Linked DNA regions of Macaca mulatta. Each later gene encodes a partner of the first gene's protein in a complex. Links are inferred from orthologs where the notes say so. Each region holds a gene or a part of one and is shown on either strand. Other genes may lie near its edges.

Region 1 (4,698 bases):
CTCATGCCTGTAATCCCAGCACTTCGTGGGGCTGAGATGGGTGGATCACTTGAGTTCAGGAGTTCGAAACCAGCCTGGCCAACATGATGAAACTCCGTCTCTACTAAAAATGCAAAAATTAGCCAGGCGTGGTGGCAGGCACCTGTAATCCCAGCTACTGGTGAGGCTTAGGGAGGAGAATTGCTTGAACCCAGGAGGCAGAGGTTGCAGTGAGCCAAGCTATGCCACTGCACTCCAGTCTGGGCAACAGAGCAAGGCTCTGCCCCCCTCACAAAATAAAATAAAATAAAATAAAATAAAATAAAATAAAATAAAATAAATATATAAACATGTATTGTTTATGTAATAAAAAATAAAAATAAATAAAAATTATTATTATTTTGAGACAGGGGCTTACTCTGTCACCTAGGCTGGAGTGCAGTGGCACAATCTTGGCCCACTGCCAGTCTTGACCTTCCCAGGCTCAGGTACTCCTTCCACCTCAGCCTCCCAAGTAGATGGGACCGCAGGCACGTGCCATCACACCCAGCCAATTTTTTCTTTTTTGTAGAGGTGGGGTTTCACAGTGTTGCCCAGACTGTTCTTGAATCCCTGAATTCCTGGGTTCAAGCAATCCTCCCAAGTTGGCCTCCCAAAGTGCTGGGATTACAGGCGTGTGCCACCGTGCCCAGCTTGTTACTATTTTTTGAGATGGTCTCACTCTGTCTCCCAGGCTGGAGTGCAGTGGGATGCTCACGGCTCACTGCAGCCTCAACCTCCTATGCTCAAGCGATCTTTCCACCTCAGCCCCCTGAGTAGCTGGGACTATAGGTGTGCACTGCCATGCTGAGCTAATTTTGCAGTTATAGGGTTTCCTCATGTTGCCTAGGCTAGTCTTGAGCTCCTGGGCTTAGGCGATCCACCCACCTTGGCCTCTCAAAGTCCTGGGATAACAGGCGTGGGCCACCTCACCTGGCCATTTTTAATGTCTTAGAAAAGAGAAAATCGAAAGCAGAAGCATCAACAAGGCCCAGCTACCATGTAGCCCCCACCTCCATACATACACACAGGCACACACACACATATATACTCCTTGGTGCTCACCTTGGGATGCAGTTCCAGTACCAGCAGGGGCCCAGAGAGCATGGGGCCAGGGCCCCCCCAGCTGGCGGTGATAAATCGGACAATGTGGTCGTGCTGTAGGCCTGGAAGTTCGTACAATGCTCTCTCAGCTTGGAACTGAGCCACAGACCTCGGTGGAAAGGCCTTGATGGCAACCAGTTTGCCTTGCAGCTGCCCGGCCCAAACCACTGCATGACCTCCTTCCCGGATTACCTGGTAGGGACACTGTGCTGAGTGTGGGCCTCTGAGCTATAATAGGGCCAGGCTTCCTCCCCAGCACAACCTCCAGGAGTGCCCAGAGGATCCCTTCTCTCCCTCCCTGGGGCACCTGGGAGAAGCACAGCTCGGGCAGCTCCTGCAGCTCCACACTCCAGTCCCTGCCCAAGTCTGGCCCTGGCTTTGGCACTGGTTCACTTCGCACTCTGTAGTTCTTTCGCTGTAGCAGGGCTGGAACAGAGAAGAGCCTTAGGTTCAGGGTGCACATGCATGGGGACAGGAAAAGGGACTCTATGGAAAGGGAGCTTTGTGAGAGGTCATGGGAGTCTGGGAATCAGGCTATGGAGATCCCAAGACCATGGGGTCAGGGGTGCCTGGAGAGGGATCAGAGCTCTGGGGACAATGTCTTGGGGTCACAAGGGAGGGATGGGGTGGATTAGTACCCAAGATGATGCTGCCCAGCAGCAGCAGGAGGAGAAGGAACAGCCCCAGCAGCACCAGTGCCATCCAGATGGACTCACCTGGACATCAAGGCAAGAATGCAGGCTGGCAAGCACTGACCCAAACCTGCTCTCCGCTGTTCCCCTCCTGAGAGCTTGCTTCTCAACCCACCCCCACCCTGGTCACAAGACCCCTTATCTCCCAGTCACCAGGGCAACCAACTTCCCAAGGCCAGGAGGAGGAAAGTGTGGGGTGGGAGTAGGGTGAGAACTGGCCCTGGTTCCATCTCTCATCCTAACCTGGGCCCAGCCCCCACCAGCCTTCAGTACCCTTGGGTGGCTACCTGGGGCAGCCTGGGGACCCTGGGAGCCAGGAGTCCCAGGGCTCCCTGGAGGAGGCAGATGGCTGTAATTGGCATTGCAGAAGTCAGTGCCACAGGAGCAGGTGAAGAGAGTGGAGCCAGGGCTGGGGTGGGCTCGGGGACTTGGGTCACAGTGGAGGGACTCACAGCCTGGCTCATCACTGTCTCGGCATCCTGATGGGGTGGGATTAGGGGAAGAGGAGAGAAAGGGGGAAAAGGGAGAAAGCACAATGGCATGTGGAAACAGAGGATAAATCCCTTCTCTATCAGAGGCATCCCTTCCATCTCTCATGGGCTTTTCTTTCCCACCACATGTTCTATTTCTCCCCTTCCCCCTTGGTTGCCACCCACACCCCAGGATGTGTCTGTCTCCCACCCTAGCTATCACCTGCCATATACTTTGCCATTCACCTTGCATTTCCACCTGTGCCCGGTCTTGGGTCAGGTTCCAGATCCCAAAGCAGCAGCGGCTGTAGAGGCAGCGGATAGCTCTAGGGAGCTCTGGGCCTGTATCTAGCAGCTCTCCCAGTGTCTTTGTGCTTCCCTGCACTCCAGGGGCCTCAAAGAACACACAAGTTCGCCTGTTTGGGGGTGCTGAGGCCCAGGGTGGGGAAAGGAAAGGATTCGAGATAGGAGTGAATGCAGAGGCAAAAAAGTGGCCAAAAAGAACAGACAAAAACATGTTCCACATCCCAGCGTCAGTATGGTAAAGCCACAGGAGGAAGCAGGGTCAGCAGAGGGCTGGAACCTGAGCCCCGCCATGGGGACACATGGCTCTGTCCTTCACCCTCACTCACCCAGCCCACTCACCACTCTTCCAAAGGGGTGGCTCTTGCTTCAAGCGCCCCTTTCCCTCACGGGATGGATGGAAAGACCCTTCCCCTCCCTGTAGACGCTTACCTTCCACAGCTGTGGGAAGTAATGCCCAAAGCCCCAGAGACCCTAGCATCTTGCTGGAGGATGGCAGCAGCAGAAGGAGGAGAGCATGAGCCAGCACAGCTGCCCCTGGCCAAAGCTTTCTTCAGATACAGGGCATCCTGGAGCTTCTGATCCCTCAGTCCCCAACTCCGCCCCCCTCATTCTATCCCAGCCTCTGTGGGGGAGAAGGCTGCTGTGGGGGAGAGGGTGGGTGTGGGGAAAGCAGGGAAAGAAAGGGAGGAGCAGAGAACCAATCTCATATCCTCTTCTCTTCTGCAACCTCCTCTTTGCTCTGCATAGTGGGAGGAGGGGACCTTGCAGGCCCAGCTGAGAACCCAGTGATGCCTAATTTCAAATCTTTGCCCTTTTCTGACCTTGGAAGAAGATGCTGGACTCTGTTGACTCTTCTCAGGAGGAAACTAAGGTGAGGTCAAATGCTTAGAGCCATTCAGCTCTGCCCAAGATCCCTTCTAGCCTAAGATCCCTTTATATTCAGGGTTCATATCTGCAGCTGCTTGGGCAGAGGAAGGCCTCACAGCCCATATTAGAGGTTACCTTGTTTTCCAACTTAAGAATCAGAAAGTACATAAAACTTACCTGAATTAAAAAAAAAAACACATTGAAAACAGTAACAATGGTAAATTTTGCTGTGTGGATTTCACTTAAAAAAAAAATCACATTGGTTCACAGGCTGAACAAATAACCATTATTAAGGAGGTGACAAAGTTCTTATCAAGCACCTACTATATTCTGGGTCACAGCTAGGGCTATGCATTTTACAATCGTCTCATCTAATTCTCCCCTGAAATATTTATTATTATTATTATTATTTTATTTATTTTTTGAGACTGAGTCTTGCTCTGTCACCAGGCAGGAGTGCAGTGGTGCCATCTTGGCTCACTGAAACCTCCCACTCCCTGGTTCAAGCGATTCTCCTGCCTGGGCCTCCCCAGTAGCTGGGACTACAGGCACAGGCCACCATGCCCAGCTAATGTTTGTATTTTTAGTAGAGACAGGGTTTTCACCATGTTGGCCAGGATAGTCTCAATCTCGTGACCTCGTGATCTGCCCGCCTCGGCCTCCCAAAGTGCTGGGATTACAGGTGTGAGCCACTGTGCCTGGCCTATTATTTTTATTATTTCCACTTTATAGGTAAGAAAATTGAGCTTAGGTAAGTCGCCCGAAGTCATTCAGCTAGGAAATAGCAGAGCTGGAATTTGAACTTAGGCAGGTCTGACTCCAAAGTCCAGGTTCTATTTTTTTTTTTTTTTTTTTTGAGACGGAGTCTCGCGCTGTCACCCAGGCTGGAGTGCAGTGGCCGGATCTCAGCTCACTGCAAGCTCCGCCTCCCGGGTTCACGCCATTCTCCTGCCTCAGCCTCCCGAGTAGCTGGGACTACAGGCGTCCGCCACCTCGCCCGGCTAGTTTTTTGTATTTTTTTTTTAGTAGAGACGGGGTTTCACCATGTTAACCAGGATGGTCTCGATCTCCTGACCTCGTGATCCGCCCGTCTCGGCCTCCCAAAGTGCTGGGATTACAGGCTTGAGCCACCGCGCCCGGCCTTTTTTTTTTTTTTTTTTGAGACGGAGTCTTGCTCTGTCACCCAGGCTGGGGTGCAGTGGCAGGATCTCTGCTCACTGCAAGCTCCGCCTCCCAGGTTC
Region 2 (4,646 bases), on another chromosome or scaffold:
GCGCGGGTTGCGGTCGGACTGCGGCCAGCCGCACACGCCCTGGCAATTGTTGGCCTGGTAGGTCTCCGGGATGAGTACGGAGCGCTCGGCGCGGAGGTCTACGCTGAGCTCGCGCAGCGCGCACGGCCCGTCGGCGGCGGTGGCCCCTGCGCTGCGCTGTGCCCGCCCCGGCCCGCGTGGATCCCGCCCGCGCCACTCCGCGCGCAGGCCCTGCAGCGCTTTCAGAAGCAGCAGAGCTCGCAAGGGATCGCCGGGGCCGCCGGGGCCGCCTGGGCAGAGCGCGAGCAGGCGTGCCAGCAGCGGGGCTGCGGCTGGAGGCAGACCTGGGAGGCTGCTCAGCTCGGCAGCCGCCGCTTGCAGCTCGGCAGCCACGCGGTGCGCCAGGGCAGTCGCCCACGGCGCCGACGTGGGGTCGTGCAGGGGCGCGGGGTCCCCGGTGGTGGCCGCGGTGGGCCGCAGCAGCAACAGCGGGTCCTCGCCGTCTAGCAGGCGCTCCAGCGCCGCGGGGTCCGACAGGTTGACCAGGCCCTGCGGGAAGCCGGCCAGCGCGTCCGGGTCCAGGGCCAGGCGGGGCGCGGAGGCCCGGGCCCGGGGGCCCCGCAACGTCCGCACCAGGCGCGTGAGCGTCTCCAGGAAGGGGTCTGCACTGGGCGGCGACTCCTCGAGCTCCGCGGATGGCCTGGAACCCGCAGTTAGGGGAGTTGAGAGCGGGCGCGAGGCCACGCCGCCCCCGCCTGCTCCTGCCCCATGCCCCCGGGCCTGCACGCACCTGGGCGGCGGGAAGGGCACGGTGTCCAGCTGGCCTTGCGCGGGCAGCGGCGCGGGCTCAGACCGCGGCAGCAGGAGCAAGGCCGGGGTCATCCGCGTGAAGCAGCGGTGGTCGTCGCCGAACAGCAGTGCCTGCACCTGGGCGGTACTCAGGAGGGAGCCTGCGGTGGGTGGGCGCGGGGTTGGCTCAGGGGCTGGGGGCTGAGGGCAGTCGACCCGGCGCCCGGTCCCTCTCCACGCACACCTACCCTCTCCGCGGGGCTGCAGGGTCAAGGCCAGCCCGGAGCCGCGCCAGGCCCCCGCAGGGCGGTCCACCGCCAACGCCAGGTAGCGAGTGTCCCGGGACGGGCAGAGGCTCTGTGGAGACCAGGGCTCAGCCCGGCTGGATGGAGGCTTAGCCAGCCCTGCTCTACCGGTGCCCTTCCTCCCATTGCCACTGGTTCTACGCTTCTCTCAGTACCGCAGACCCTGCAACAAATCCATGCCCCTGCCGCGGCCCAGGCAATGCCCCATGCAACTCCCTGGTACCTGGGCACCCGGCAGCCCAGCCCTCGTCACAGTGACCTCAGGGCCAGGCCCAGGCCCAGGGTACAGCACCAGCAGCGCCAGCTCCGGGGGGTCGGCTACTCCATGCGGGGGCTCCTGGAACCTCAGCGAAGGTGTGGGCTCCCAGGTCACTGCAGCCAGGACAGCAGGGGACGCCTGAGCCATTGAAGGCCAGGCCCGTCCCACACTCCCCTGGGAGTCTTTGGGATCCGTCCCTGCTGCTCTGGCCACTGTGCAGGGGGCCTTGAGCGGGGGACCTAGTGTCCCTCTTCACTGCCTTCCTGCAGCCAGGGAGCGGTGACCGCCCGGGCAGGCAGAGGCTGCGTCTGAGGCTGTGGGTGGGGCTGCCGCCCTGGGGTCTCTGGGTTAGGGCGCCCGATGAAGCCCCTTCCCCGCAGGGAGTCTCTCAGGCCAGTGGCCCCGAGAACAGGCTGGCCAGGTGTGGGGCGGTGGGGAGGAGGGTTCCACTGGCCCCGAGCCACAGGGTGGTTTCTTCACGGGTGGCGAGAAGACAGCAGCTCTCTCCCTGCCGCTGTGGCAGGGGCTGGTCTAAGAGCTGGGCTTCAGGGACAGGACAGAGCGCGGTGCCCACCTTCCAGGCCATGGACCCACAGCCCAGTCCCAGAACAAGACCACAGCCTCCCTGCCCAGGGTGTGGGCTCTGCCAGCCCTTGATCTTCCCTAAGAGGACCTGGCCCACCTGAAGGAGGCCGGCGGTGCCAAGCTCGGGGCTGGGCCCCACGTACCTTCCTCCAGGTGCAGGACCACCAGGCGCTGCCCCCCAGGGTCCCGCAGCCAGGCCCCCAGCCGCTGTAGAGAGGGCAAGGCAGCCTGCCTGTCACCGGGGGTGCACACCCCAAAGGTGGCCAGGTCTCGGGGGCCCCAGTGGGCCCGCTGCACGGCCCCCAGGAAGGCCCGCTCATAGGCGCTCAGAACTCCCATGACCTGCAGGGGGGTGCCGCTGCCATTGCTGTCCCCACCCAGTGCCACCAGGCACAGAGGCTCTTGTGGGCTGCCTGGCGGCCAGTCCAGGTCTTCTCGGAAGATGAGGCCACCGGTGCCCACAGCTGGTTCTTCTGCTCTGAGGGCCTCAGTCCCCAGCAGAGCCCCCAGGGCGGACAGTACCAGGGTCAGGCTGGTGAGAGGCAGGTCCCGCGTCATGGGTGCTGCCAGGAGCTGGGCTGCCCGCCTTGTGGAAGCCGAGTGGAAGGTAGGGTGTTTGTAAAGGACAGGCCCCTATCTCCTCTGCCGCGACCTTGGGGGACAGTGCCCGGCGCCCCCACTCCAGGCAGAGTGGCCTTCTCAAAGAGCCCTTTCTGTCGCCAGCAGCCTATCTCCCTCCCCACAGCGATAGAGCTGGGCCTGATTTGTCAACATGCTGTCCTTGAGGGCCCGTCCCCAGAAGGCACAGGAGTGGGAACCAGGCTGGGAGTGATGGCCAAGCAGCCAGACTAGACAGCGCTGGGGGCGGGGGGCCCAGATGTCCTGGGTGCTAAGGGGTGGGCCTGGAGGAGGAGGGTCCCAAGTCAGTGGGGGCGCCCTGTCCCTGCTCACCTTCCCAACCCCTGGTGGGCTATCTGGAGACCCCAAGGATATCACAAGAGTCTGCTCTTCCCTCCCCAGGACAGGACCCCAGACCCCCTCCTAGCTGGCTGGTGGAGTCTGTCCTCCACCAGGCCACCTCCAAGGTACAGCTGTCTCTCAGGCCTCCCACAGGTGTCTCCCGGCAGGCCCCAGGCCCTCCCCAGTCGGCGCAAACTCAGGGATGGTGCTGTGCCTGGCACTCCCACACAGCACTGACAAGGGAGGGCGGCGCTGCAGACATCAGTGCACTCGGGGCTGGGGAAGGCTGTTTAATGAGCAGGGGGCGGTACAAAAGAGCAGCCTTCTCTCGATGGCAAAAGGCAGGAGCACCTGGCGCTGAGCTTGCTGGGGGAGGGAGCAGCTTCTCAGTTGGTTGGGGGAGGGGGAGGTATGTTCCCTGGGCCTTCGGAGGGGAGTGGGGGCCTCAGCATTGGGGGCATGGGAGTTGGGGGGTGTACCCCAGGATTTGAGGGGTGAACTCCAGGAGGCTGAGGGTGGACCCCAGGAGCTGATGGATGGACCCCGGGAGGTTGGGGGTGGACTCCCGGGGCCTGAGGGTGCATCCCTGGGGCTGGTGGGTGCACCCCCGGGGCCTGAGGGTGAACAGCAGGGGCTGCTGGGTGTACCCCTGGGGCCTGGGGGTGAACCCCCGCTGATGGGGGAGGATGGACCCCCGGGGCTGGTGGGTGGACTCCGGGGGCTGGTGGGTGAACCCCGGGGGCTGGAGGGTGAACCCCGGGGGCTGGAGGGTGGACTCCGGGAGCCGGGGGGTGGACCCCAGAGGTTGGTGGGTGGACCCCAGGGGCTGGGGGATGGACGCCAGGAGCTGGGGGATGGACCCCAGGAGCTGGGGGATGGACGCCAGGAGCTGGGGGATGGACGCCAGAGGTGGGGGGATGCACCACTGGGGCCGGGGGGTGGACCCCTGGAGCTGGTGGGGGTAGCTGGGGTGGTCCCGGGGGCCCTGAGGGTGCAGGCCCCGTGGGGGGCATGGGTGGCAGAGGTAGGCCTCCCGGCGGTGGCGGTGGCAAAGACTCGGGCAGCGGTGGCCGAGGGGGCAGACCATTCATCAGCGGAGGTGGAGGCCGCTTCACCCCAGGGGGGCCGGCGGGGAGGCTGGGCGGAGCCGGGGGCTTCTCCATCTTAAAGTGGAACTGGAGGAAGAACTAGAGAGACGGAGAAAGGTTCAGCAGGCACGGGCAGGGCTAGGGCCACCGGGGCTGGGCAGGAAGGAGCCAAGCTCAGGGCTAGCCACTCACCTGCTTGGTCTCCCGGTTCCAGTGTGTCCAGAACTTGCCCTCCGCCTTGTCAATCTCTCTGCTCGGCACCTGGGAAGGCGGGGGACAGAGAGGGCTCCTGGTCCCTGTGACCTCAGGGTAGCCATCAGGCAGGGAGCCTGAGGCGTTAGCCTCCCCGGCCCGGACTCCACCCTGGGAGCCCAAGAGAAGGCCCCGGCCTGGTAAGACTTTCGATGGGCACAGGGTTCAGTTCTGGAGTGACACAGACCCGGCCTCCACGCTAGCACACGCTGGCCCCCGCCCTGGACAGGCACCGTTTGTATTGTTTCCTGATGGCTGCTTTGTCCAGGCGTAGGCACAGGCTGTGGGAAGCCCTCCAGCAGCCTAGACCAAGAAGCGAGGTCACTTGGCGAAGGCCTCACAGGCCCAGCGCTCAGCCCTGCCGGCCTCCCTTCTCCATGGGCACAGTGGAGCCCAAGCAGGCCCCCTCCTGCAAAGCCCAATGGGAGG

Evidence for each region.
Region 2: the proteins of AMHR2 (region 1) and AMH are in contact, whole or in part, in a crystal structure (PDB 7L0J), measured with the Homo sapiens proteins. The link is inferred for Macaca mulatta from reciprocal best matches to the Homo sapiens genes AMHR2 and AMH. Residues at the interface, in NP_065434.1 of Homo sapiens: Gly31, Val32, Arg33, Gly34, Ser35, Thr36, Thr38, Leu39, Phe62, Ile64, Glu75, Met76, Arg80, Asp81, Ser82, Glu84, Pro85, Ser95, Arg97, Ala98, Pro100, Ser101, Leu106, Thr108; in NP_000470.3 of Homo sapiens: Leu471, Arg472, Glu474, Val477, Leu478, Ile479, Pro480, Glu481, Thr482, Tyr483, Gln484, Lys534, Leu535, Ile537, Leu539, Glu542, Arg543, Ile544, Ser545, Ala546.

What each region holds. Positions count from the first base shown.
Region 1 is NC_133416.1:60,571,620-60,576,317, reverse strand, and holds the start of AMHR2 (anti-Muellerian hormone type-2 receptor), read right to left. Parts: upstream 2,953-4,698; 5' UTR 2,811-2,952; coding exon 2,531-2,810; intron 2,294-2,530; coding exon 2,102-2,293; intron 1,839-2,101; coding exon 1,761-1,838; intron 1,549-1,760; coding exon 1,430-1,548; coding exon of another isoform or gene 1,315-1,429; coding exon 1,084-1,314; intron 1-1,083. UniProt on the Homo sapiens protein: On ligand binding, forms a receptor complex consisting of two type II and two type I transmembrane serine/threonine kinases.
Region 2 is NC_133424.1:2,995,790-3,000,435, reverse strand, and holds the start of AMH (muellerian-inhibiting factor), read right to left. Parts: upstream 3,113-4,646; 5' UTR 2,476-3,112; coding exon 2,061-2,475; intron 1,446-2,060; coding exon 1,297-1,445; intron 1,126-1,296; coding exon 1,017-1,125; intron 930-1,016; coding exon 770-929; intron 680-769; coding exon 1-679. Other genes in the region: SF3A2 (splicing factor 3A subunit 2), read right to left, coding at 3,264-4,064, 4,158-4,226. UniProt on the Homo sapiens protein: Plays an important role in several reproductive functions. Induces Muellerian duct regression during male fetal sexual differentiation. Also plays a role in Leydig cell differentiation and function.